2 linked regions of the Oryzias latipes genome follow. The protein of the gene in region 2 interacts with the protein of the main gene of each other region in a biochemical or structural test. Links are inferred from orthologs where the notes say so. Each region holds a gene or a part of one and is shown on either strand. Other genes may lie near its edges.

What was found.
Region 1: the proteins of prkcz (region 2) and pard6b form a complex in vitro, tested with the Homo sapiens proteins (2 studies listed by BioGRID). The link is inferred for Oryzias latipes from reciprocal best matches to the Homo sapiens genes PRKCZ and PARD6B.

What each region holds. Positions count from the first base shown.
Region 1 is NC_019865.2:4,511,447-4,524,243, forward strand, and holds the start of pard6b (partitioning defective 6 homolog beta), read right to left. Parts: upstream 6,340-12,797; 5' UTR 6,026-6,339; coding exon 5,963-6,025; intron 4,843-5,962; coding exon 4,620-4,842; intron 1-4,619. UniProt on the Homo sapiens protein: Adapter protein involved in asymmetrical cell division and cell polarization processes. Probably involved in formation of epithelial tight junctions.
Region 2 is NC_019865.2:32,861,611-32,874,395, forward strand, and holds the start of prkcz (protein kinase C zeta type), read left to right. Parts: upstream 1-4,395; 5' UTR 4,396-4,607; coding exon 4,608-4,684; intron 4,685-12,785. UniProt on the Homo sapiens protein: Calcium- and diacylglycerol-independent serine/threonine-protein kinase that functions in phosphatidylinositol 3-kinase (PI3K) pathway and mitogen-activated protein (MAP) kinase cascade, and is involved in NF-kappa-B activation, mitogenic signaling, cell proliferation, cell polarity, inflammatory response and maintenance of long-term potentiation (LTP).

The sequences.
Region 1 (12,797 bases), about 28 Mb from region 2:
CTCATGTTCAAAGACCCACTGATAAAAATGGTGTTTTGGGTGTTTTTAACATGTTCAAGTGTCATTTTTCTCATGATGGAGGACACATATAGGGAAATTCAAGCTCAAAATTGCATTTCTGAGCATTTCTTTATTGAAGCCATAGTAATTCAGGAGCAGACGAACAAAAGTTGTTGGTAAAACATCGTATTGGTGACAAAGAAAATACTCTGGGTGGGGCCACAAGCTTCATTTTGATAAATTCACTAGTAGACAAATGGATCCATCAACGTCTTTGTTTTCCTCGTCTGAGCTGGAATCTGGATCTAAACTGTACCAATGGATAGTTCTGATATTGCTCGCCATTTTTGATGGACCGCTAATGTCAAGTTGGGGCTGTGAGCGGCTGAGAGCTAGAGAGAGAGTGTACCCTAAGCAGAAAGCCCAGAGTTATGGGCGAGAGGAAGGGGGGTGGGGTTGCTCCCAGCCAACAATCCCGCCGCTTTACAGAAACCGTGTCCTAGAAAACAACAAAGTTTTTTGATATGGGCTAAAAACAGCAGAATCATAAAGACCAATGGGAAAGCTTTAAAAACTAGATCATAAGATGATCAGAGTGAGACTTTAAAGCTTTTTTCCCCCCGGTGTGTCGAGTTTTTCTTCTACAAGAAAAAAAAACTTAAAAATATTATAAATTTAAGGAAATCGTGATATTTTTTAAAGCCTGACATGGGTTTTGTTACCAATCAGCAGGTTATCGATCATTCCTCTGACCTTTTTTTAATCCTCTTAAACAACAAAAACAACAAATGTCAGACGGGGTGACTGTGAGCCAGAAACAGCTTTGTATCTGAGCGGCTGGCAGCTGCTCCTTACCGTTACAAAAATAGAAATCCTTCACATGAGAACAATAACAAAAATATTCCAAGAGATAAATGACCTCGGCATTATTCACCTTAATATTTCGCCTGCAGCAGCTGAATGCTGGTGCAAAGATCGTCAAGAATGCTTAGCTTGCGTAGAAAAGAAACCCAACACTGACGTTTAGGAAATGCCTCCAAGCAAATCTCCTTTCGGAGTGATGTCATGCTGTCTGGGTGTCGCTTCCTCCTCATTACAGCTCTATCAGGTAACCCAGCCTGTTTGTATGACACACATTTCAAAATAACAAACCCAACAGTCCTGACATAAACCTCTCTGTCAGGAGACCCCACCTATGGAAAGCCTCTTGAAGCCTACACATCACCGGCAGCTCAACACATCGTTCACAACACGGGCGTGGTTAGAGGGGATGTCCACCGGTGGACGGAGAAAACCTTCCAAAATGACTGGCACAGAGGGAAGCGGGTCACACATCCTTCCCCGAACGCCTCAACAGCAGCTCTGTGACAGCGGGCGTACGCACAAACAACAACAATGTGGGCTTTCTTCAGGAACCAGACTGCAACAATGCAACAACACACTCACAGCCCAACAACCATGCACTGAAGCATCTGCACAGCGGTAGAAGGAGCGCGCAGAAGGCCAGGAATATCACACACCATCTGCTGTGACGCTAAACTCTTCAAAAACCATCAGTCAACGTTTGGGGGGTGTACCTTCCCCTCTCCCATGATTCAATAAGCATCGGCGTACGCTGTCCACGCTTAAAAACATAAAAGATTCAACTCATTTTGTGGTGATATGATACAGTACAACTTTTATCCCTAAATGGATCCAATCTAGATATTTATTATACATTTGGCATTTAAAAACATACATGAAAACGCCTTTTAGTAGATAAACTTGTTTTAGATTTTGAGCAACAAAAATGAAATGCTTTTTGCCATAACTTCTTCAATTCATCTCAGGCCGTTTGGCAGAAGCAAGCTTATGATTGGACGTCTTTTTGTCTGCATCACATGTACATGAAAAGGCAAAGACAGCAGAGACACAACAGGAAGAGAAACCGACAAACTGGTTATTTACTTCTTTAACAATTTAATAAATTTTTACCGACATAATCTTGGTCAGAACGGCCGTTACTCTCATAACTAGACCGATTTTTCTAAATGTACCGGTCAAAGTGGATCGGTTCCTTCATTTATTGCGGAGGTAATGTTTTAGAAATAACCTGCCATCGCAGAAATCCACCAAATAGGGTTACAGATGTTTAAAAGCTGTAAAACCCCTAACTACACACTTTTATCTCTTCAACCTCTCAAAGTTCGAAGTTTGATAGAAAAATTATTCCAGTATCGTAGAATAAAACCAGAGATCGGCTCGTGATCAAAGGTTGATGTCATTTTGGTAAACTGAAGGCATTCTGTACAGGAGACACGGTACAAACGAGACTGATTGACATGGTCTAAAGCCACATGGGATGCAGAACACAGTGTGCTGTGTAAAAAAAAAAACAAAATATATATATATATATTTAAAATAATTAATAACAGCATGCAAAATTGTACTGACAAAATCTGCAAAACTGCGACATAGTGAGGGAGCACTATACCCCAAAACAGGAAAGTTCAGGCTTTCAAAATTTGTGACTCAAAGCATAACACTCTAAACTGGTTCAGTGTCCTGTCTAGGCAAAAAACCCACGCTAAAACCCATTAAAAGCATGCATGTTTACAAAATATTTAGCCTTTTGTTTCTATCATATCAACTACCGTACTCAGAAAAAGTTTACATGAACTGACATAATGCAAAACAAACTGCAGGACGTTGGTGTTATTGTTTAATGTCTCCTGAATGCTCCTTCACAAGCACGCGTCGAAATGTTTTCTCGCATTGCTGCAAATTCCTGCCCTCCGTGTGTCATGAGACGGACGCATACCGACACCCCTGTGCTTTCATGAAGGAGCTGCCGTGAAACCCCAGGATCCACTTTAGGCCTCCTCTGTTTGCTGGAGCCTCACCTCCTTCAATCGCAGGAGATTACAGAAGAAACGCGTCATTTTTTTTCCACATGGATGGATGGTTGTGCAAATATTGCCACAGGTTCACCACAGGAGCATCCGTCTCTCTGCCACAATTCCTCTTAAAGCTATTTATGATCCAAAGTCAACAATACACAGCTTTTTAAGAAAGCTGAACTCTGTTCAGATGCTGCCGATGCATTTTCTATTATTCAAATCGACTATATTTATTTCATTTCCAGTTTGACACAATTGAAAATTGATTTGTGTGGTTGTAATACACTGAAATCAGATTGTTGCTTAAGTTCCTTTCCTTTTTATTCTAAAAAAAATGAAGGCAAATTCTGAATCATTTTCAAAGGCAATTTTCTGCGTCTGTTGAGTTATTAAGCTGGGACCAACTGGTGCCTGACAGGGGGGGTAGTAACAAATCAGCAGAGATACTAAGCTCTGAAGTTAATGGAGTCTGTGGGGTACTGCATTAAGTCACCCCCCCCCCCATTTCCTCTATTCCCATTTTTCAACGTGGCGTGTGGCGGCACACAGCTTGTATGTCTGCAGCCTGGTAGCCTCCGTTAGCATGCGTCGTTTTTGCTGCTGTGTTTACGAACGGCAGCAGACGCAGCGTGGGTTTGCCTTTGTAGCGTGTCATAGAAACACCGTCCCATGCAGCACTGCACGGTGACCCCCACTAATCTCCTCCTGACAAAGTGGCTTAGCCTCTATACAGTCATATGGCACAGCGGGACGGCTTAAACACACGAGGTTTGCCCCGATCAAGCACACCCAGGGGGGCGGGGACGTTCAACAGGTCACGCTCGGAAACTCCCCAGTTGCCAAGTAAGTTTAAAAACCCGAAAGGAGGGTCAAATTTGACCCCAAGGAGACAGATGGTAAAAAAAAAAAAAAAAAAAAATCCTCATTTTTCAACACCATTTCCTGGAAATGCTCAACAGCACAGGAGCAGAACACAAAATCCAAACATCTACTTCTAAAAAAAAGTATTAAAAAGAAGTGAGGACATTTTTCCAAACATTTTTTTTTAAGTTTCAAACCTAGAAATACTCCGGTCAGAGCTGGAAAACAAACAAAAAGGTTTCGGAAAGCATCCAGATCTATGATTACAGCTAAACATGGCTCTCCAATGCATTATCAATTTAACAAATTAATAAAACCCCTGTTTCTAAAGCCGCCTTCCATCTTTTGATCTATTTTCAAAGCGTTCCCGGTGGTATTTTAACAATGATTATGTCACAATTTTGCTCAAATCCAAACACTTGTGTCATTTTCTAGGACATAGTTTACTGCAGGGTTGCAGTAGTTCATTAGAAATTTGCCTCTGAGCACGGGGCAACCCCGCCCCGCTTCCTCTCCCTGGTGCAGAGAGGTCAGAGCGGGAGCTTGTCTGTCACTCACCAAGTGTATTTTCTGCGTCACAAAGATGCTCATTTTCAAACAGCATTTTTTGTCTGCTCCTGATTCACATAGATTTGAACACAGAAATACTCAGAAATGCAACTTTGAGCTAAATGTTCTTTGAATATGTCCTCCGACACCAAAAAAAAGCCACAAGAACATGCTGAAAAACTGCATTTTCATCGGAGTGGCTCTTTAAATATCCTTTTAAATCCCGAAACCTTCAGCAGAGCATTGTATACATTTGATCATTTCTGTTCAGGTGAGCAGTTTTCACCTCTCAGACAAGCACAGAGCAGTTCAAAGTCTTCCTGTTCTTACCTTTCCTCTGCAGAAACAGCCTGAGCAGAGGGTTGGCCGTGGAGATGGCCTTGTGGTAGTTGTCATCGTTGTTGATGGGCAGCAGGTCGCCGTGCACGTCGGCGTAGCCCACCAACAGCTCCACGTTGGGGATGCGGTGCACGTGCTGCAGAAGGCCGTAGAACTCATCAAAGCGCCCCGGCTTCGACCGATCCAGAGAGAACCGACGAAACTCTGCACCAAACTGACCCGCAAAAAAAATAAAAATAAAGTTTTGTCAGCATTAATTACAATACGAACATGTAGGTGTTCAACTACCAGTATTGTCTGTAAAACATGAATAATAGGGTTTCTAAATGAAACATGGATGCAGTAAATAGAGTTAATCAGTTTTTTTTTTTTATAAAAGCTGCATTCTAACACGCCGTCTGAGCTCTTCAGTGCAGCTCAGAGACTCTGTACTATAATGTCTCCTGGCTAATGTTGATGAATACGGACGGGTTGTTGTGGTTACTGTTGCCAAGCTCCACAAAAGATGATGAGAATTCAGTGCCAACTTGGCCAGGTTTACACCAAAAGAAGTGTGTTAGGCTCAGGTTTTTGGGAGGAGACACCCTAAATAGAACCAGGGATGAGTAGAAAATGACCAAATAACAAAATATAAAACTCCCAAAACACAAATTGTAGAGCAGAACTCCGTAGAATCAACAGAGGGACGGTTGTAGTTTGTGTCGACATGCGCACACATGAACAAAAACGAGTTTAGAGGCGCTAAAAAAAAGAGCCTATTCTGTCAACGGTGTGTGTAATCATGCAACAAGCAGGCTCTGGCGGAAGGAGCCGGCCTGTCGCAGGCCGAATGACACCTGTGCACGCGGGAGGGGCGACGTCGCCCTAAGTTCGGGGCAGCCGCTCCTGCCTTCCTCCGGTAGTTTCAATCAACTAGAAAGATGAGAAAAGTCCCGCGAATGCCCCCCCCCCCCCCCCATCCCCCCGGGAGGGAAAAGCGGTAAGAACCCCGGCTCTAAACTTTAGTGAACGGGTGGCGGGAGCGGCGGAGGAAGCGGTGACAGGTGACACGAGCTCACCGCGGCGTCAACTGACGTTAACGTAAACCCTCGAACTACACCGAGAAGAACGACGACGCCACTCTCACGTTTGGCGGCGCGTCGACGTCTCGATCGATGTTGTGGAAACAATAACACAAAAATGTTTAACATTTTGTTCATGTGTTTTTTTGCGCCATCATTAATCTGGTACCGGGCTACTTAGCAGGCTAAATTAGCAAGAGTGACAGATTAATGACCGCGGAGTTGCGATCACAAACACATCGAACGGAAACGGTAAAGGAGTCCAGGGATCACCTTGCTCTTCACCTCCACGGCACTCAAAGAACGGCTGCTCGGCACTCGGTGGTTTTTGTTCATGTTTCGCTAGCAGCGGGACAGCCGCCGAAGCACACCCTCTCTCTCCGCTCCTCCTGCCGCAGCCGCGTATCCCCCCCCCCCAAAAAAAAGCGTCCGCCAGTCACTTCTCCGACAGCAGCAGAAGACGTCCCGGTTCTCCTCCGCGTGCGCCGGTTCGTTTATATCGGTCCGGAAGTGTCCAACGAAGGCTGTCAACCCGCCTGGCTCAGCGCGTGAACTTCTCTCGTCTCATAGCTGCCGCTGTGCGTGGACCTCGCGCTGCGTCCGGTTGTGTCTTTGCGACTCTTCTCGGCTGAATGCCCAGCCGCCCTCCGAGTGCCTGGAAAGCTGCGCCCTTCAAAATAAGAGTCGTTGACATTTCAATACATTTAAAACTTCAAAATAAGACTCATATTTATCACTATTTTGAACAAGGACGTCATGAGAAAAACTTTTAATAAATACAAACAATATTTCTGTACCGTCGAGGGACAGATAATGTGGATTAGGGATAATATTTAAAGTGGCAGACATTCAAAAAACATTTTTTACATTTTCAATAAAAAATGTCTACGTTGATTCAAAATGTACACCATCATTTCAGGAAAATAAAGGAAATTTGGGTGATGGGTTTACTTTTAATTTATGAAGTATGATTATTATTATTACCATAAATATTTTTTTCCTACTAAATAAAAAATATACATATATTTTTTACTTGAAGTTATTAAGCCCTTCCCAATAAATTGCAGATGCAACGTTATCGCAACATAAGCTGTGCAATACGCATATCGCAAAAGTTGGCAAAAATCACGATAAATGGTTACCTTAAATGTGCTAAAACAATCAAATTATCATATAAAATAAATCAGATCAGGAATAAACATTTTATCTCAAGTTTGGACTCAAGCTGGCACCATTGACAAATGCAAACAGATGTTTTAGCTTTTTGGCAAAGCAAAAAAGTTAACTTGCTCCCAAAAATTGAAAACTTGGTGAATTGGACCAAGAAAAGCATTGAAACCAATTTTAAGGGATTTTACTCTCATTTTAGTTTGGTGCAGAAGTGAAGCCATGATAAAGTCCACTTGTCATTTTGGGTTAAAACAGTTTAGATTGTATTTGGGTTGGAGGGAGCGTTGAAGAGCGGGGACGGACGACCGAAATCAGTGATGATAGTGTAGCGACCTGGGGGTTAGCCCCGCCTTCAGCCCCTAAGGCTCATGGGAAGTGGGGAGCTTAGGGTCAAACCTTGAGTCAGAGGGCTGGAAGCTGAAGTCACGATCCATGCTGTTTGGGCTGTATATTGGCTGGAATGAACAGGCTTTTTGCTTAAAAGCTAATATTGTCTCTCTCTACGTTTCTTCCAACCTGAGACTGTCAGGGGTCGTGCGGTGTATGGGGCACGGACAGATTTCCATTAGGACCACTTCATGAGCAGTTGGCTTTCGCTATCCCACTAAAGTGACGGTCCGGCCGGATCGTTACAATAGAAACAGACTTTCAATGGCTGCAAACTAAGTCAATGTTGTTTTTATCTATGCCTGCAATTTATTCACTTTTTTCCATACCCTCACAGTCTGAGTCAGAACATGCTCCCTCTTTTGGTAGATTTTGCTCTGAAAAGTCTGTAAAACAACACATCAACTGTTACCCAGTGCATGTGAGTGTCGGGGTGGGGGGCTTTGTTCCAACTTTTCAAGCAACTCAACTTTCAAAAAAAAAATACTCCTTTTAAAGCAAAAACTGTAAATAATTATAAATAATAAAAATCATTTGTTCTTGTGTTGTGCTGAAAAACAGACAGCTGATCATTCAGAGGAGAAAATAGTGGTTTCTAATTATCATTTTGTCTGAAAAGATTAAGTAAAAATAGGTAAAACCACGAAGATTCCATTAAAATGGTCTTTAAAATGAATAAAACAATAAACTTTTGTGTTGTCTTTTTGTCTGTGAAAGATGCTGTGATGAATATGTACAGCCTGGTGTGTATGTGCGTGTGTGTGGGGACATCTACTGGCCAAAAAAAACACAAAAGCTGCTAATGGAGTTGGGTTGTCAGTATGGTAACACTTCTATTTTCTTTTCTTTTTTTATTTAACCTTTATTTAACCAGGAAAGTCCCATTGAGATTAAAAACCTCTTTTGCAAGGGAGTCCTGGCCAACAAGGCAGCACATTTCAAAACAGAAAATACATATAAACAAGCATCGGTGAAACCACATCCGTCATCTAAGAAATGTAAACCGAGTGTAAAAATGATAGATTGGCAGCATCACGAAAGGCAAATGTTAGATATTGAAACAAGAAAGAGAAAGAATAGCAGTGAATATTTTTGATTTAAATAAGTACAGCACTGTGCAATTTGTCACATTTATGAACATGATTAGTGATAAAATCCAATTAAATGTCATACTATCAAAGTACACGGCGTGCAGCCAAGGGCTCCTTAACCTCTTGGAAAAATGAGACTATTGAATAGAAAATGTGATTTTATTTGAAGGGAATCTGCATTGTTTATTTATCCTGATTTGTATGTTTTTTTCCCACCTTTGTAATGTTTTAGTTCCAGTCCAGCCTTTCATTTGATTGAGATGCTGTTCCATGACCTTCTCCATCTAAAACCCTACATTAGGCTTCAATTTTATATATTAAAGTTTTACTTTTCATTTTTACTGTTTCACCTGTTTGATCCTACATGTCTCCAAACCTTTGAGCTCCACTTTCAGCGCATTTTTCGGAAATACCATCGTTACAGCTTCAATGACCTTAAGTGACCTCCCTCCCTGCTTCCCTAAAGTCCATGTCCGCTGTGCGTCTGCAGACGTCCTCTGTCCACCTACGTTTAGTGGCAGCAGAAGTCACAGAGAAGCACATTTCTGCTCTGCATCCTCTACGTTTACATCTCACCAACACCACCACCCTTTCATTGGACGGACTGCTGAAAGGTATCTGGGTTTCTTGCAAAATCTCTCAAACAAACAAGACTATTTTCAAACAAAATAGTGTTGAAACCTTTATTGTGCTGCTTAATCTACAGTTAGAACCCATCCACTTTCTGTATTTGGTTTATTTGTAAAATAGATTCTAGACATTAACTACTTTTCACATTTAAAAAACATAAATTTAGCATTTTCAAAGAACTGGAGAAGTTACATTAAGCAATAATGGAAATAAACAGAATCATACTTTTAGAACCTCATTGTTTAAGGCACATTCATTCTATTTTTTTCCCTCATACTAAAAATATTTTGTTGTGAAATCAGACTGTTGAAATTGACTGTCCCCTTTAAGAACAAATATATTTTAAATAACTAAAATAAAAGCACTGTGAATTTGCTTAGGTCAAAACAACTTACATATGAGATAGAGTTGCATTGCTTAACGTTGTGATCATTAAATAAAAAGGAATTTTACAATTCATTTATTGATATTGAGGTAGAGTTTTTTTCTAAGTCAAACTCTTAAACAAAACAAAAAAAGTGTTCCAGTAAAATATCATGATAGGTATCGTATCGCGGGATGCGTATCGTATCGCCAGATTCTTGCCGATACACACCTCTAGAATTTATGCCAATCATTTATTAGAACAGAGGAAACGCTCAAAATTTAAAACAAACATTTCAAATACTTTCAATAAAATGGAAATAATGTCCAATTGAAATTCCTGAAACCTTCAAATATAACGATGAAAGGTTAAAAACTTTGAGGTAAAGAAAATGTTTTCATACCTTTTTGTTTCAACTTAAAGCTGTTGGGACTTTAATGTTTGTATAAATTCAAACTGATTAAAAGTTATAAATGAAAGTTACATATAAATATGAAATCAGATACCAGCAATAACAAAAGGAAACCTTTAACAAAAAAAAGGGCTGAAAAATGAAGCATTAAAAATCCCCCGCATGGCAGCAAACCAACGACAGAGCAGAGCAGCAAGCAAAGATCTATGTCGACGCCAGCAAGGCTCAAAGATCCTCGGCTTGTTTCACATCTTTTAGAAAAAATTCTGGAAACGTGTTTATAGAAGTTAATTTTTTTTTTTGTCTTTAAAGAAATATTCTGGAATGTGATCACATCATTGAGAAAACAAAATCTGTTACATTTACAAGAAATTTTCTGCAAAAACAGAGAAAAAAATCTGAGATTTATTATCATAAAAAAGCAAAAACAAGAGATTTAATTTTTGTTCCTAGAGCATATGTAAAGAAATGATCTTTCAAGTAAGCTTTATAATTAAAAACGTCCATGTCAGGGTTCTGACTTTTTCCTTAATAAAAGAGAAGAACCACACAGGAGATGAGAATGAGAATCGGTCTGTCACAGCGCGAACTGTCACGGAGGAGTTCTGCCTTCCTAGTGCATGGAGCCTCTTTTAATTGAAAACTGAAGGTTGCAAACATGAACGAGGGTCATTTAATCAGGAACTACAGGAACATCATATTCTTGTATAATCAGAACTTTTCAGGTCATTGTTTACTTACTGAAAGATAGAACTGAGACAATCATATTATGCTGATAATAGCGTGTGAGCAAATGATAATTACGTAACTCTAACAGTCCATATAATCTGATACTTTGGACAGAATCCTGACAGGACTGTATGATGAATCCTTGGGATGCTGTATTTCACTCTGCTATTGTATTTCTGTGTAATTTTCATTAAATATTGATTTCATATCAATATGGTTGTTTGGTTATTTATCCAATTGTTGGCCCAAAATGAGGACCCTGTTTGCTGGATTTTGTTCTGGCACATAAAAACAGGTAAAAAAACAGGAGAAAAGAAGGTTCAGTTTGATGTCTTCAGAAAATAAACTTTACTTTCTGAATGGTCCAAGGCATTCATCTCATGAATAATTTGTAATCTCTTTCATAATTATCTTCATAGTGAAGGAGGAGCCAGAAGTGGGAACCATCTCTCTCGTCTATCCCTCCCACTCCCATTTCCTCCCTCATTTACCCCCCCCCCTCCCCCCATCCCCAACCTCCATTACGAGGCACTGCAGATGAGGCCTCTTGTCTCCCGATAGTCTGCATTGGCTTTCTTTAGCCCCCCCCCCACCCATCACCACCACCTCCCTGCCTCTGGTTTGTGTGACACTGTGGTTTGTCTGACCTCCAGTAGCACGAAACTGTCAAAAGGAGGGCGTGCTACAGCACTTACCCACAAAGAACAGGAGAAAAAATGTATTTAGAAAAAAAAAAAAAATCACCCCCCACCTTTTCAGTTAGTTTCCATTTGCCCCACCTCAGGGGGCGCCGTGTGTAGAAGACACCAGAGGCTCACGTCCCATCTCTCCTCTGCCCAGGTCAGCACCAGTTATTGTGTTTTTGGACCTGGTTATTGCACTCAGGTGGAGGCACAAAGCGGGTCAGGTGGGGACAAATGCCAAACTGTGACCCAGACCCGGCTGTAGTTACCCCCCATCCTCACCCCCCTCCTGTTATCGACAGGGGTCCTCATTGTCTTTGCAGCCTCTTTGTGTCTGACAGCATACTCACCCGTCACCTCCTTCTCCATCACCCATCTGTGGGTCCTTGTGTTTGTCTCCGACTCCCCCCACCCTCAAGCTTCTTCCTCCACCCAATTTTCTTCCCTTTCCTATCTCACCCACATCCCCCGCCCCCCTCTGAAGCTCTCCCCCTGCACACAGCACTGCAGATGAGGCCTCCGCCTCCCCCACAGTCTGCCAGGCCTCTCTAGCTCTCTCCTCCAGCGTCTCCCACCTCTCCCTTCCTCCCTGCCCTCCCTCATTCCCACTCCTCACAAAGGCATAGCAACACTCACCATGTAGCCGAGGAGCCTTGCCTCCCAGGGTCCATTTCCCATGGTTTTACATCCCATTGCTCCCAAGATGGCAACTGAAACGGTTTTGGATGAGGATGCACAAACCATCAAATCTGCAGAAGATGCATCAAAGTGAACTTGAGACGCCACAAAAGTCAAATGTATCAGAGTAGCATCACCACAAACTCCACTGAGCTCTACTTTCCTCCAATAAAATCACTTCTTTGTTGTTTCTTTAATTTCTCCCAGCGTCTTCTCCTCTCCTGCATCCGTCTGTACTCGTTTTTAGTAAAAACAATCATGGCTGCAAAGTCAAACTTTGGTACAGACCCGAACAGAAAAAACAAACGAACCTTTCTTCATCCAGGTTCACGAGTTTGTCTAATGTTGCCATGGCAACTGTGGCAGACTTACATTAAGGTAACCACCCTAAATAAAACTATAACATCTGAACCAAAATATGAGCTTTTGCTTTCAAACATAAAAAAAAATACTTTTGTGGATTTTGCTCAAATGTAGGTTAACATTTAACCTTTAGGATGTGCTGGGTCTCAAAAAATACGATGATAAAATGATAAAGGATCAAATAAAATATAAAAAACAGAAACCAATACAGTCTGACCATTGAATTAGGACCAATTAAAAGTCGTGACCTGTTGATTGGTGAGATGAACCCGGATTTGAAGAGGTTGCTGGTTCAAATCTTACACGGCTGTGGGACAGAAGCCCCGCCCTAAACAGCTGCTATAGTAGAGATGCTTATTGGCCAATGGTGGACTAAAGTTCACAGGTATAAATCCAAAAACATCCACAAAAATAATCATAGAAACTGGAAAAGGTGACGAAGTTTGGCAAAAACCATCTTTTGTCCCAGAAAAACTTAACTTCCTCTGCTGGAGGTTTGTTGGAGAGTTCTCCTGTTTTTCTGTCATTGGTCCCCAAATCCAAACGTTTCCATGGTGATGTTTACATTTATGGGTTTAAAGCTTGGTTAATAATAACCCAA
Region 2 (12,785 bases):
AAAATAAGCTGTTTAAGTGGAAAATGAAAAACCATTTGACAGATTGATGACTCATTTTAATTTTGAGTCACAGCTTCATCGTGAAAATGAAAAAGCATTTCCAGTCTTGACTTTTATTTTGAATTATGAGACACATGTGCTTCCAAATACCCCCCACCCCCAGTCCAGGAGTGCATCCTTGTAGCACAGAGGCTCCTTGGTGAGCCACAGCCCAAGTATATGTGAACGCAGCATGTATGCATGTGCATTTCAACTAACAGCCCACCTGAACTCTCGGGTTGCATGGGGTTACAGTTACCTGATGATTGGGGACATGTGTTCATAGAAGACACATCTTCAAGTCAAGAAGACAAACATCCCAATGGCAGCAGGACGCTCAGTCAAGACATTCCCTCCTCTGGAAGCCTTTGCTGTGTTTGAAGCACTTTCAGATGTGGACTCGAGGAGCAGTGAAGAAGATTCTGTTGAAGAATCAGAGTCCATCCTCTGAGAACATGCCAGTACCAATGGATGAGACGTACACATAAAGACCAATGATTGCTGAGGAGGATGAGGAGAAGAAGCCTTCACCTGTAAAGGAAAAGTCCATTCAAGAAAAGCATCAACCTGTTGCAGACAAACAACGGTGCCAAAATGGCATGGTTACTGGAGAAAAGTCTTCCTGGTGGACTTGCATCAGCCAGGGCTGCCTGGTCCCCAAAACCTGTTTTCCTTAGATGTGTAATCACCAGAGAGGGGCGAGGGAGCCGAAGTGTGAGCTGTCCTGCACCTAGATCTAATGTGTAACTGGAGGGTCCAGTCATGAGGGTGACCACCACAACAATCAATTAAAAAGGGGAGGGGCACTGCAGCAGAACTTCCAGAGATTCTGGCTGAAAAATCCTTTCAGAGTCTCAGAAGGTTTTTTTTCATCTTTTGTCTTATAGATTTGTCATAAAAGCTGAGAGAAAACAGTTCAATGTTTCTATCCGCCGCTGAAGTGATGCAGCGCCCAGAAGGATGGACTAAACCGAAGTGAGCTTGAAAGTTAAAGTGTTAGCGGCGGAGAGTTGTCATGTTCCGCTGTGCAGTGACGGTTTTTGATATGGGCGGTCGCCTAGGGCAGAATTTTCCAGGGGGCGGCACGGACGAGGGGAAAAAAATCATTCATTATTTCCTTTCTCTAATTTGAATAGTGACGACATCCATTCTCGTTATCTGAAGGTTTAATTTAAATGTCAAACGGCGCCCTCTGCTGGACGACCCTGAAACTTGCGCCCTCACCTCTTTGCATAGTCTCTGGAACTTCAGGCAAAAAATTCAAGGGGGGGGGGATTCACCGATGGCTGGGTGAATCACACTCACAGGTAATTGGGAGTCTTTTTCAGTCTAACTCTGTCATTGTAGCTCAAACTACTTTCACACCAAATCACATTATGCATTCACCATGAATGTATTTTCAAACCCAATTCCAGTCTCCCAAACACTATGACAAGTATTGGTTTAGCCTGGGGGGTATTCCAGGAAGCATGTTTAAACTACCCTGACTTTAACCCTGAACTCTGCCTGAAATCCGCCTGAACTTGCTTACTCTGATGTAAACCTAAGACAACTTTATTAAACATGCACAATAATATTTGAAGAGTTAGGCTAAGGCTATTGTTAGCGTAAACGTTTAGTTCATCCAAACTAAATGTGTGCACTAAGATAATTAAATACAATTTTATATTCACTCATGTCCAATCAATTTTAATTAATTCCTTCACTCGTACTTTTATTAAAATAGCAAAAAACACAACATTATGAGCCGCTGTCACGTTATTTAGATATTTCTAATGACATATATTCAGTACTTTGTCTCTTATTCTCAGTATTATTAGAATTATTTTGTGGTTGTTCCTCAGCTTGTTGTCAGATATTGCATTAAATATATACAGCTGTGATCCCCTCTACTTCAAATATTTTGTAGGAATGTTCAGTTTTTCTATTCATATTAGATGCACTTCTAAAATATTTTTGGAGCAGCTGCTGTGGTCCCAGACGATACAGATGTCCCACAGCCATCTACCTCAGTCTGTCACTCAGAAGGAGACGGGATCACTTCAGAACCTCACTCAAAAAACGTTCACTTTGAATGAACATAAAAAAATTATGGAAAGGATTTCCACATGATTAGATTGCGTTACATGAACAAAAATGAATCATGTTGGTCCTACTTAATGTTAATATATTTAGGTTGGGTCAACTTAATGTATTTAGGTTGGGTCAACTTAATGTATTTAGGTTCAAACTAATAAATTTAAGTTGATTCAATTTAAATACAGCAGTTGCACCCAACTTTAAATTGATATTGTTGCTCACTCTAGAAAGAAGAAAGTTGATCCAATTTAATTGAATCACTTGAATTGGTCACACATAAGAAAATTAAGTTTATTTAACTTAAATTTCTATTTTTTTCTTTAATTTCATTTACACATCTGTAATTGATACTTTGTTCCAAAGTTACAACCTGTGGGTCTTTTAATTTTCATATCAATGACATGAATTACCCAGCAAGGTCCCACATCACAAGCCAGGAGCTCAATTGCCACAAACTCTGTGTTAAGTATTGGAACATTAGCATTCTACCACACCAGGGGGTTGGTCATCATCCTCTACCAAACTTTAACTCATGGTGCAAAAAAAAATAAACATAACAGTTTAAATCACTAGTTAAAACAGAGTAAAACAGCTAGACAATAAAACCCAGGGACAAAAACTCACACTTAGAGCCCAATCTGCCCAGATAGACAAAGAAAATGGTATCCCACAATTCCTTGCGATTACTAATGCATCCAATTTAATGGTATCACGTTGGATCAACATGATTGAAATTAGTAACTTTTAAATGGATTATTTTTATGTACAATCGACATGATTCATTCACGTAAGATTTACAAACATAAAATTTTCTGGTTGAAATGACAAGTTACTTTTTCGTTAACTTAATTGGCTGGTAATTTCCTTTTTTTGAGTGCTGTTTTGGGTCAGGATGCAGAACCAAACATTTCCACAGACGCTGAAGGCCCATTTGCATCTGATCCACAACAGCAAGAAACATCAGGTTTGCACATCATTTAAATTACTAGTGTAGTAGATATGATATGTATTTTTATAGTCACAGTGTGAACATAATTTCATGAAATGTATGATAATCCATACTGCCTCAAACATTTATTTATTCACAATATATGTGACTTTTTTAGGATTACAAACACAAAAACATCCACATCCATTACAGAGGCTTCAGTGGATGAAGAGCTGCCCCCTGACCCACTAACTGCCCCTCATGACTGACAGGAATCCAACACATCTGGTTTGCAGAGGAGGAATTCAGGTTCCATCCACATTTGTTTCTCTCAAGAATGAGAATGATAGAGGAAGCTGCCATCAGCAGTACTTCAGATGAACTTTAGTTAGTGGAGGAGAGGAGAAAAAACGTGGTTGGTGTACTTAAAAAAAAGGTTCTCGTGTTTTTGCTGCAGACCTTTTTCCAAAAGGAAAATGAGTTTAACAGACCCTGGATTAATGCCAGTTCTTTGATCACCTCACATGACAATAGATCCTATCCACTGCATGAAAACTAGAAAAGAATTAGATGTGAGGATAAGAAAGCTTAAGCTTATCAAAATGTTCCTAAGATCATCCAAGGCTCAAGATCAGCTACCTGGTCTGGTAGCTCTAATCATCAACCACTGAGAAACTAACAAACCAGGGTTTGACTGATGACTTTGCCCGTATTAATGCAAGACTGACACATTTTTAGTTTAAGAGAAGCAGACCAAGTTCATAGTGTAAGCTATGAGAATTTTTAATTTAATATTATGTATGTAGCCCAATATTAGCAAAGTTGTCTCAATAAGCTTCAAGCTTAAATTGCACTAGTTGTTAATAGATTTTTTACATGGAGGTCATTTCAAGCCTCAAGCAAACATGTGTGTTGTTATCCTTGTAAGACTTATTGTTACTTTTGGTATTTTTTTTCCAACAGTCCTATAAGCTGTACGAATTTACAAGCCTCTGGTTGCTTTTTAAAATAATTGTTAATAGTGAAATATTTGAACCATAAAGTAAACCATAATAAGCTGTTGTACTTTTCTGGGTAGTAACTGGGGGAAACTGAGGGGCGCTACTGGTGTGGCTGCCAGAACCGCCACTCCCGCTGTGGGTCGCAGCGGACCCGCCGCGAGGAGCGGAGCGGGACAGGTGAATTCTGACCCCCGTAACCATAGAGAGCCACAGAAATCTATCAAGCTGCGAAGTGAGCAACCTACAGTTGTGCTTTCAAAATAAAAGCATCGGCCTCTTCCTCAATGCTGCCGCTGCCTATCATAGTTTCAATTTGTCTTATTTTGAAAGTGTGGAGCGGAAATGGCCTAGTAGTTATCGAGAGCTTGACGGCTCCACCGTCTCCGAAGCCTTTAATGTTTCTGCACCGTAAAAAAACTTCAAAACCGCTCCGTTAGTTTTCTTTCCGGAAGTTTCCTCCCGGGTCCGCGCGGGATAGTCGCGCTGAATGCCCCGCAGCGACCCGCAGGTTGGGTTCGTCAAAGTTTGGGCCTGTCCCGGGACTTTCAGCAAACTGCGGGATGGACGCGCTGACGTCGAACGGATCCATCATGGACCTGGCCTCTAAGGTGGTGAAGATAAAAGCGCACTTCCGCGGGTAAGTGACCTCCTCCGGCGCGTGGACACCTGCGGAGCCAAGGCGGCGCGCGGTGTAGCGGGCCGGGCCGGGCCGGGCGCGCGGGCACACCTGCCGCCACAAGAATGAGTAAAACAAAAACACCGTTTCTGACTTTCTCACTGCAGGAAAGTTAAATAAGTCCACAAGTGAAAGCAGTGTGACCTGCTGGTCACCAGAAATATCAGACACTGAAAGGTTTGATGGACTTTCGGTCCCAAAGCCTCCATTCTCCTTCAGTTCGGGACATGAAGGTGAGCGCCGCAGTGGCTGATGGGTGGACTCTGACAGCAGGAACCCCAGAACGGTTCCTTCAAACCTGTCTGAGGAACTGGAGGTTCTTCACCCACGCAGGTCAGAGAACAGGTGGAAGTGAAGCAGAAGGACGTCACTAACCATGATCTAAAGGGAGACACGTGAACGCCTCTCCCAGTGTGTGTTCATCTGAACAAACCAGTAGTTGATAGAAATGAGTTTTATTTTGCTCTAGTTCAGAGGTGAACTTTCATTTCCTGTGTCTCCATTGATCTTTGAGCTTTGAAAACATCCCTCCTTGTGGTTTTAATGAGCTGTAGTTGTTGTGGGACCAGCGGTTGCCGGGGCGACCTGCTGCCTGGACTGAAGTTCATTCTTGCAGTGAGGAGTCCGGCTCTCCCTGTCACCTGAAGCTGAGGGGGAGGAGAGCTATTCTGATGAGGAGAACAAACATGATGAGTCTGGAACTAACCTTTAGCTTTGGTTCTCTATCCCACACATGAGGATTGAACAGGAAGTCTTTAAGCATCTATATTAAAGCAAAACTAATCATTTTAGTTCATATTTGTAATAAATCTTTGTTAATGATCCAAACTATTGACATATTAGATGTTAGATGCTGGCCTCCTATGTAGACAAGGGTCATTTGGACTAGGGCTGGGCGATATGGCCTAAAAATAAAATCTCTGATTTTATACTTTTTAATTCGATTTTAAGATTTTTCCCCCCGATGTCCCCCCCCCCCCCCCCCTTACTTAAGGAAAGCAATAAGTACAAACGGCAGACAACTTAAAGCAAATTTTGCTTTTATCTAATCAAACGCAAGACAAATGTAACCCCCATTTCTGGGATGAATAATAAGTACATGAACACACTCTTGGAATCAAAGTCCCAGCTGGGTTTTAAGTCACACTTTGTAGTCTAGACTAAAAGGAGACAAACATTCACCTTGAGAGTAGCACCATTTTCTAAAGGATTAACATTACAGCTCACATCTGGGATCTAAGGTTTTAATTCAATTAATAAACCCCGTCTTCTCCACGGTATCTATGGGTACCATCTCTTTGGCTATATGCCACCGTGCCCCTTTCATAGGGATGGGTACCGTGCCCCGGTATTGAACGAGCCCCGGGGCAACATTCTTCAAGACTGCAGTATCGTTAAGATCTGACCTCAACGGTTCTGCTATCTGTACTAGAGAAGTCGCATTTTTTCTGTGTCCCACAAGATATAAACAAGAGCTGTGACGGTGTGGGATTTTTTTTTTTTTTTTTTATAACTTTATTTATTGAACATTTTCTGTATTAAACAGACATACAGAGTGTAAAATGAAATGTAAAAAAGGCAATGTGTAAAAATAAACACTCACATGTCAACCCGTCCCACCCACCCCCGTCAACAACCCCCAGAGGCCAAGTCAGACACAAAAAAAATAAATAAATAAATAAAATAAATAAATAAAAAATAAAAAAGTAAATAAATAAAAAACACAAACCACTTGGGCTTTTTTTTTTCTTTTTTTTTAAAATAAGAAATACGTCCAGAAAAAAAAAAAAAAAAAAGAAAAAAAAAAAGGTAATTAAATACGTAGTAATAAGTGAGAAAACCAGGGTAACAGCAGTGGCTTTTTGTTGCACTGGTGCTCAGTCAGCCTCCAGATTGTGAGGAAATGTCAAGGAGTCCACATATTGTAGGAAAGGGCTCCAGGTCTCATGAAACACCCTGAGTGAGCCATGAAGTGAGTACCTAAGCCTCTCAAGTTTGAGATTGTAAAGCACCTCGCGGACCCAGCGGACATGCGAAGGGGGACGGGGGAGCTTCCAGTTCAGCAGGACCAGCCTGCGTGCTAATAGGGTGGTAAATGCAACGGCCCGCTTTAGTGCACTCGGCGTGTCTGAAGTTGGGGGGAGACCAAATATTGCCGACATGGGATTTGGTGTGACGGTGTATCTGTAAGCCCTCGTTAGTGTATCAAATACATCTGTCCAAAGAGCTGCGATCACTGGGCATGACCAAAACATATGGGCATGATTGGCAGGAGAGAGATGGCATCTGCTGCAGGCATCACTAATAGAAGGATAGATTTTGGCCAGTCTGGCATTGGTGTAATGGACCCTATAAACAATCTTACATTGAATCAATCTATGGCGGGCGCAAATAGAGGACAAATGGACAAGAGACAATGCCGACCTCCATTGTTGTTCCGTAATGTTAAGGTTTAGACCGTCTTCCCACGCAGTTTTGACAGTATCGGACGGCTTTGAGGATGCTGTCCAAATTGACTTGTAAACGCTTGAAATGCATCCATTAACAAAAGGGTCTTTGGAGAGAAGAACATCCAGAAGAGTTTCTGGTGGGCGATTTGGAAAATGAGGAAACAGTTTTTTAACATAGTCCCTGATCTGGAAGAAACGGAAGAGATGCTGATTCGGGAGGGCATATTTCTTTGACAATTGTTCAAATGAGGAAAATACATTGTTAGTGTATAAGTCAGAGATTGATTTAATCCCATTCCTGTGCCATAGTTTGAATGACAGATCTGTTTTGGACGGATCGAATCTGCAGTTTTTGTAGACTGATGTGAGGACTGTGGAATTTATAAGGCCGAAATGTTTCCTGAATTGACTCCAGATTTTCAAAGAAGTGGACACCACTGGGCAGGTATGGACACTGGGAAGGGGAAGCTGTGCACACAGTATTGAGCGCAGACAAAATTCTGAAGATTTCCCTTCCAGCTGAGTCCAGCTTGAAATGGCCTCATTGTCATCGTTCATCCAGAAAAGAAGTTTCTGGATGTTTGCTGCCCAATAATAAAATCTTAGGACTGGCAGGGCCAGTCCTCCCTCATCCTTCGGGGCTTGTAAGACTGATTTTCGGATACGAGCCGGCCTGCCCGACCATAAAAATGATGAAACGGTCCTGTCTAGCTTGTCAAAAAATGATTTGCCTAGGAAGATTGGAAGATGTTGGAATAGGTAAAGAAACCTGGGAAGGACGGCCATTTTGACCAGACTAACCCGACCTGCAAGCGAGATCGGCAGAGCTGACCAACGTAAAAAATCCCTCTCTGTCCTGTCAATCAGGGGGGTAAAGTTTGTATGGTAGAGCCCAGACAATAATGGGGTGACCTGGATGCCTAGATATCTGAACCCACCAGGTGACCACCGAAACGGAAAAGTAGAGGAAGGGATCATTCGGGCTAGGTCATTGATAGGCAAAAGTTCGCTCTTCTGATAATTAAGTTTGTAGCCAGATATATTGCTATACTCTTGTAGGATATTAAGGATGATGGGAACGGAGGTGATAGGGTCTGAAACGTAAAGCAAAAGATCATCCGCATATAGCGAGACCTTATGAACTGTGCCTAGACGCTTGATGCCAATAAAGGCTGCTTCTGAGCGTAACCAGATGGCCAATGGTTCAATAGCCAGAAGAAACAACAAAGGAGAAAGAGGACAGCCCTGCCTTGTGCCACGATGTAAAGAAAAGGAAGGAGAAAACGTATTGTTAGTGCGAACTGAAGCTTTGGGGGAAGAGTAAAGCAGTTTAACCCAGTCGACAAACCCTCCCCCCAGTCCAAATCGGGATAGAATGTTAAATAGAAAGCTCCACTCGACCCGATCGAAGGCTTTTTCTGCGTCAAGAGAGAGAATGACCTCAGGCATTACAGAGCAAGGCGAAGAAATTATGTTAAAAAGGCGTCTAGTATTACACGACGATAATCTGCCCGGCATGAAACCTGTCTGGTCCAAATTTATGATGGTAGACAAAACGCATTGTAGACGGGAAGCCAGAATTTTAGACAGAATTTTAAAGTCAACATTGAGAAGGGAAATGGGTCTGTAACTGCTGCAAAGTAGAGGGTCTTTGTCTTTCTTAAGGAGAAGAGATATTGTGGCTTCTGAGAGAGTGTTTGGAAGGCAGCCGGAGAGAAAGGCTTCATTATACATATCTTTTAAGAAGGGGCTAAGCACGGAGGAAAAGGTTTTGTAGTATTCAGTGGTAAAACCGTCAGGGCCAGGTGCCTTACCACTTTGGAGTGATTTGATGGCCTCAGAGACTTCTGCCGTAGTGATGGGTTTACCTAAAATTTCAGCATCCTCATCAGTGACACGTGGAAAAGTAATTTTATCAAGCGCAAGATCTGGAGAGTGTGGACACTCAGATGTATAAAGAGTCGAGTAGAACTTCGCAAATGTCTCGTTTACACTAACTGGGTCTGTGATCGTCACACCCGCTGGAGATAATATTGCTGGAATAAGCCTAGAAGATGCCTCAGCCCTTGCCTGGTATGAAAGAAGCTTCCCCGCCTTGTCACCCGATTCATAGAAACGTTGTCTGGATTTAAGCAGCAGCGTTCTGACCTCCGTGGTAGAGATAAGATCAAGCTCTGTCTGTAGTGCGAGTCGTTTCTTATACAAGTCTGGATCAAAACTAGCAGCTAATAATTGGTCTGTGTCCTTGATGTCGTTCAGAAGTAAATTTGTACGAGCAGACTCCACTTTCCTCTTATTAGAAATAAAAGAAATCAGTTGACCTCTAATGTACGCCTTTGAGGCCTCCCAGAGATTGCTTCTATTTGTTTCTGGCAGGTCATTAAATTCAAAAAATAGAGTTAGTTGTGATTGTATAAACTCTTTATAGGATTCCTCAGCTAGGAGGACGGCATTGAACCTCCACTGGTTCAACAGGCGAGGCCGGGAGAGTATGGCCAGATCAAGAGAAACCGGAGAATGGTCTGATATAGCTATACCGTGATAGTCGACAGAAACCAGATTAGACAGAAGTCGTACATCTAAAAGAAAAAAGTCAATACGAGAAAAGGTGCGATGAACATGAGAGAAGAATGAGAACGATTTTCCCCCCGGGAATTTATGCCCCCATGGGTCAGTAATACCGAACTGTTGAGAGAGAGTCGATAGCATTTTGGCTGCTCTAGTAGGGGGGGCAGAAGTGTTAGAAGATCGATCAAGCTGCGGATCCTGCACAAAATTAAAGTCACCACCCATAATTATATAGTGATTTTGGAGATCTGGAAAAGATGAAAAAAGTTTTTTAACAAAAGCACTGTCGTCCCAGTTAGGGCCGTAAACACAGATGAATAGAAAGGATGTTAGTTGAATCTTCCCAGAAACTATTACATATCTGCCATTCGGGTCTAGCACTGACTTTTCTGCAATAAAAGGAAGATCCTTATGGAAAATTATGGCTGCACCACGGGCCCTGCAATTAAATGTGGAGTGAAAGACTTCCCCCACCCAATGTTTTTTAAGTCGCACAACTTCCTTATTGGGCATGTGAGTTTCCTGGAGAAAATAAATATCTCCTTTAAGGCGATTTAAGTGGGTCATTACTCGCCCCAGTTTTGTAGCGACGGTGTGGGATTTTTGATCACCGCCAGATGAAGCAGCAGGAGTCGCGGTCAACCGCACCCCGCGCAACCCCCCCCCCCCCCCCCCCCCTCCACCGCAAATGTATACCGGTACAAGTCATAATTGCAACGCAGTATTCTTTATTAACAAATAACTGTAACAACTAACTATCTAACTAATGAAATAACTATATAGGTGTTGTAGAATGAGGATGCGTGTGTGTTGCAGAGGAATGAGCACATGCCATGCGAGAGTGAGTGACAGCGTGCACAGGTGTTGGGGTGCGTTCATGTTTGGAGTTAGGGAGTGAAGGAGAACAGTAATAAAAGGTTTCCCCCAGGTGTTGGAATAGGTTTGTGGTGCTGCTGCCTTTGACTGTGATGGGCTGTAGGGCTATGTTGTAGCGTGGGGGTGGGGGGGGGGGGGTCTCTTCTTCCACGTCTGTGGCAGTAAAGGATTTTATTCCTGTCTTGGGAACAAACTTCCCTCTCTCACCGGTAGCCATGCTGTCACTTGTTTCATGTGTGCTAGGATGTTGTTGTTTGTCGCTTGCCATACCGCCGTGTGAAACCAACGCTACGGAAGCTCTGGGGAGCCAAAAAATGCGCCATTACACAAAAACTTGATTTAGTTATTTTTTAAATCGCCCGTAACAAAGAATTCGAATTAATTCATTCAGTCGATTTTTCACCCAGGCCCAATCTGGACTATAATTAAAGTTCTGTTGACTCTAACTTAAATTAAACTGTTGCAGTGAAACAGAAACGATGTATTTAGCTGTTTTGTTATTATTTCAACCGAGAGTTTTCCTCATATCGTGCAGCCCTGATGATGATGATGATGATGAATGGTTGCAGGTCTAAATCTGAGAGCCTCCTCACCATGAGGTGTTCCTGGGGTCTGGACCCTGCGGTTCCTGGTTTCTGCTGAGAGCTCACTGTGTTGCAGTGAGCTCTCAGCAGGACCTTCATGAGGCTCTGAAGGTTCTCTGCGCGTCCAGGCGTCACGATTCTTCTCTCAGAAGTTACTGATGGTGGAGTGGTTGTGTTGGGGGATGTAACTGTTTTTGGGGACAGACCCTGTACATGCCTCTGGTGGGTTTGGCCAATGACTGAAGAGATTTTCAGTCATGTGCTTTGGTTTACAAGCTTTGGTTTGTAACAGAAATGTCCGCTTTACTGCAGTCTGAAAAAAGACCCAACGCAAGAGTCAAAACTTGATCCGGACCAGCGGACTTTTCCAGTCTGAGTAGACCCTTAGACCACTGCGTGTGTCTTTGTGGTCCTGGTGCTGAACATCAGGAAATAAAAATGTTTACTTCTTCTCTACAATAAACTCTGCATTCCCATCAATCAATGGAGCAGCATCTCACTGCTGTTGATCTAATGTTGATCTATTTTCCTTCATTCCATCAGATTTACCTTTTTCGTTTTTTGATTTCCAGACCTGGGAAGATGATCCGGGGGGGAACAGAAATCCAGATGATTTCCCACTTACTGTTAGAGGTTTCTGTCCAGATCTTCTACTCGTCTAGTAATTGCATCATTTGACAGACTTATTTCTCAAACTTTTTCTTTTGTTCTGGACAAACAATGTCAGCTACTTTCAGCATACATTCTTTTACAAACTCCCCATCAATTAAGGGCTTGCTTTGCCGGGCCATTTCCAAAGCTACAACGAAGCTACTAGCTTCTGTCACAGCTTCACTGGATTTAGACATTTTAGTAAACAACATCTGCTGTGCAGCACAGCCTTGTTGTAGTTGTTGGAGCTTATTGCTGCACTCCTCACCGGAAAATTTGTCATAGTTTTGATGATTTGTAACATAGTGATGATTCAAATTGAATTCTTTTAGCATTCCATTTAGCTGCTTGCAAATCAGGCACAGGACTTTACAAAGTAAGTATTTGACCACTAAGCTTGAAAGCGCCTTTCTCCTCGCCAACACAAAGTTTTTCCTCAAAGGAACCGGCTCTGGCTCTCTTTTATTGAGGGCCACAAAAACATCTTTGAGAACATCTGTGTTAAAACCTCTAAAAAATGAAAGTCCCGCCCAGCTGCCTCACCGGATTTGACATGCATAAACCGGCCAATCAGATCAACCAAAAGGTTACCGCCCCCAAGTGACAAACACACCCCCTGAACACTGCTAGCAAACCCAGTGAGCCCGCAGGAGCGCTGCTCAGTTAGATTACAGCCCTGCAGTTGTTGAATGCGGGTCGCTCGGTTAGCATTGCGCTTGCGCGGTTGTAAAGTTCGCTCTAAGTTCCCAAAAACACTCGCTCAGTTATCTTTGCACTCGTTCAAGCAGCCATGAAACGCCATAGTTTTCCCATGAAACTTTAAGTGGATGAAAGGAAACTTCTGGATTAGGGCTGCACAATATGAGGAAAACGCACGATAGGCAATATTAGTGATCAATAATGCGATGACGATATAACCTGTGATAAATGAAA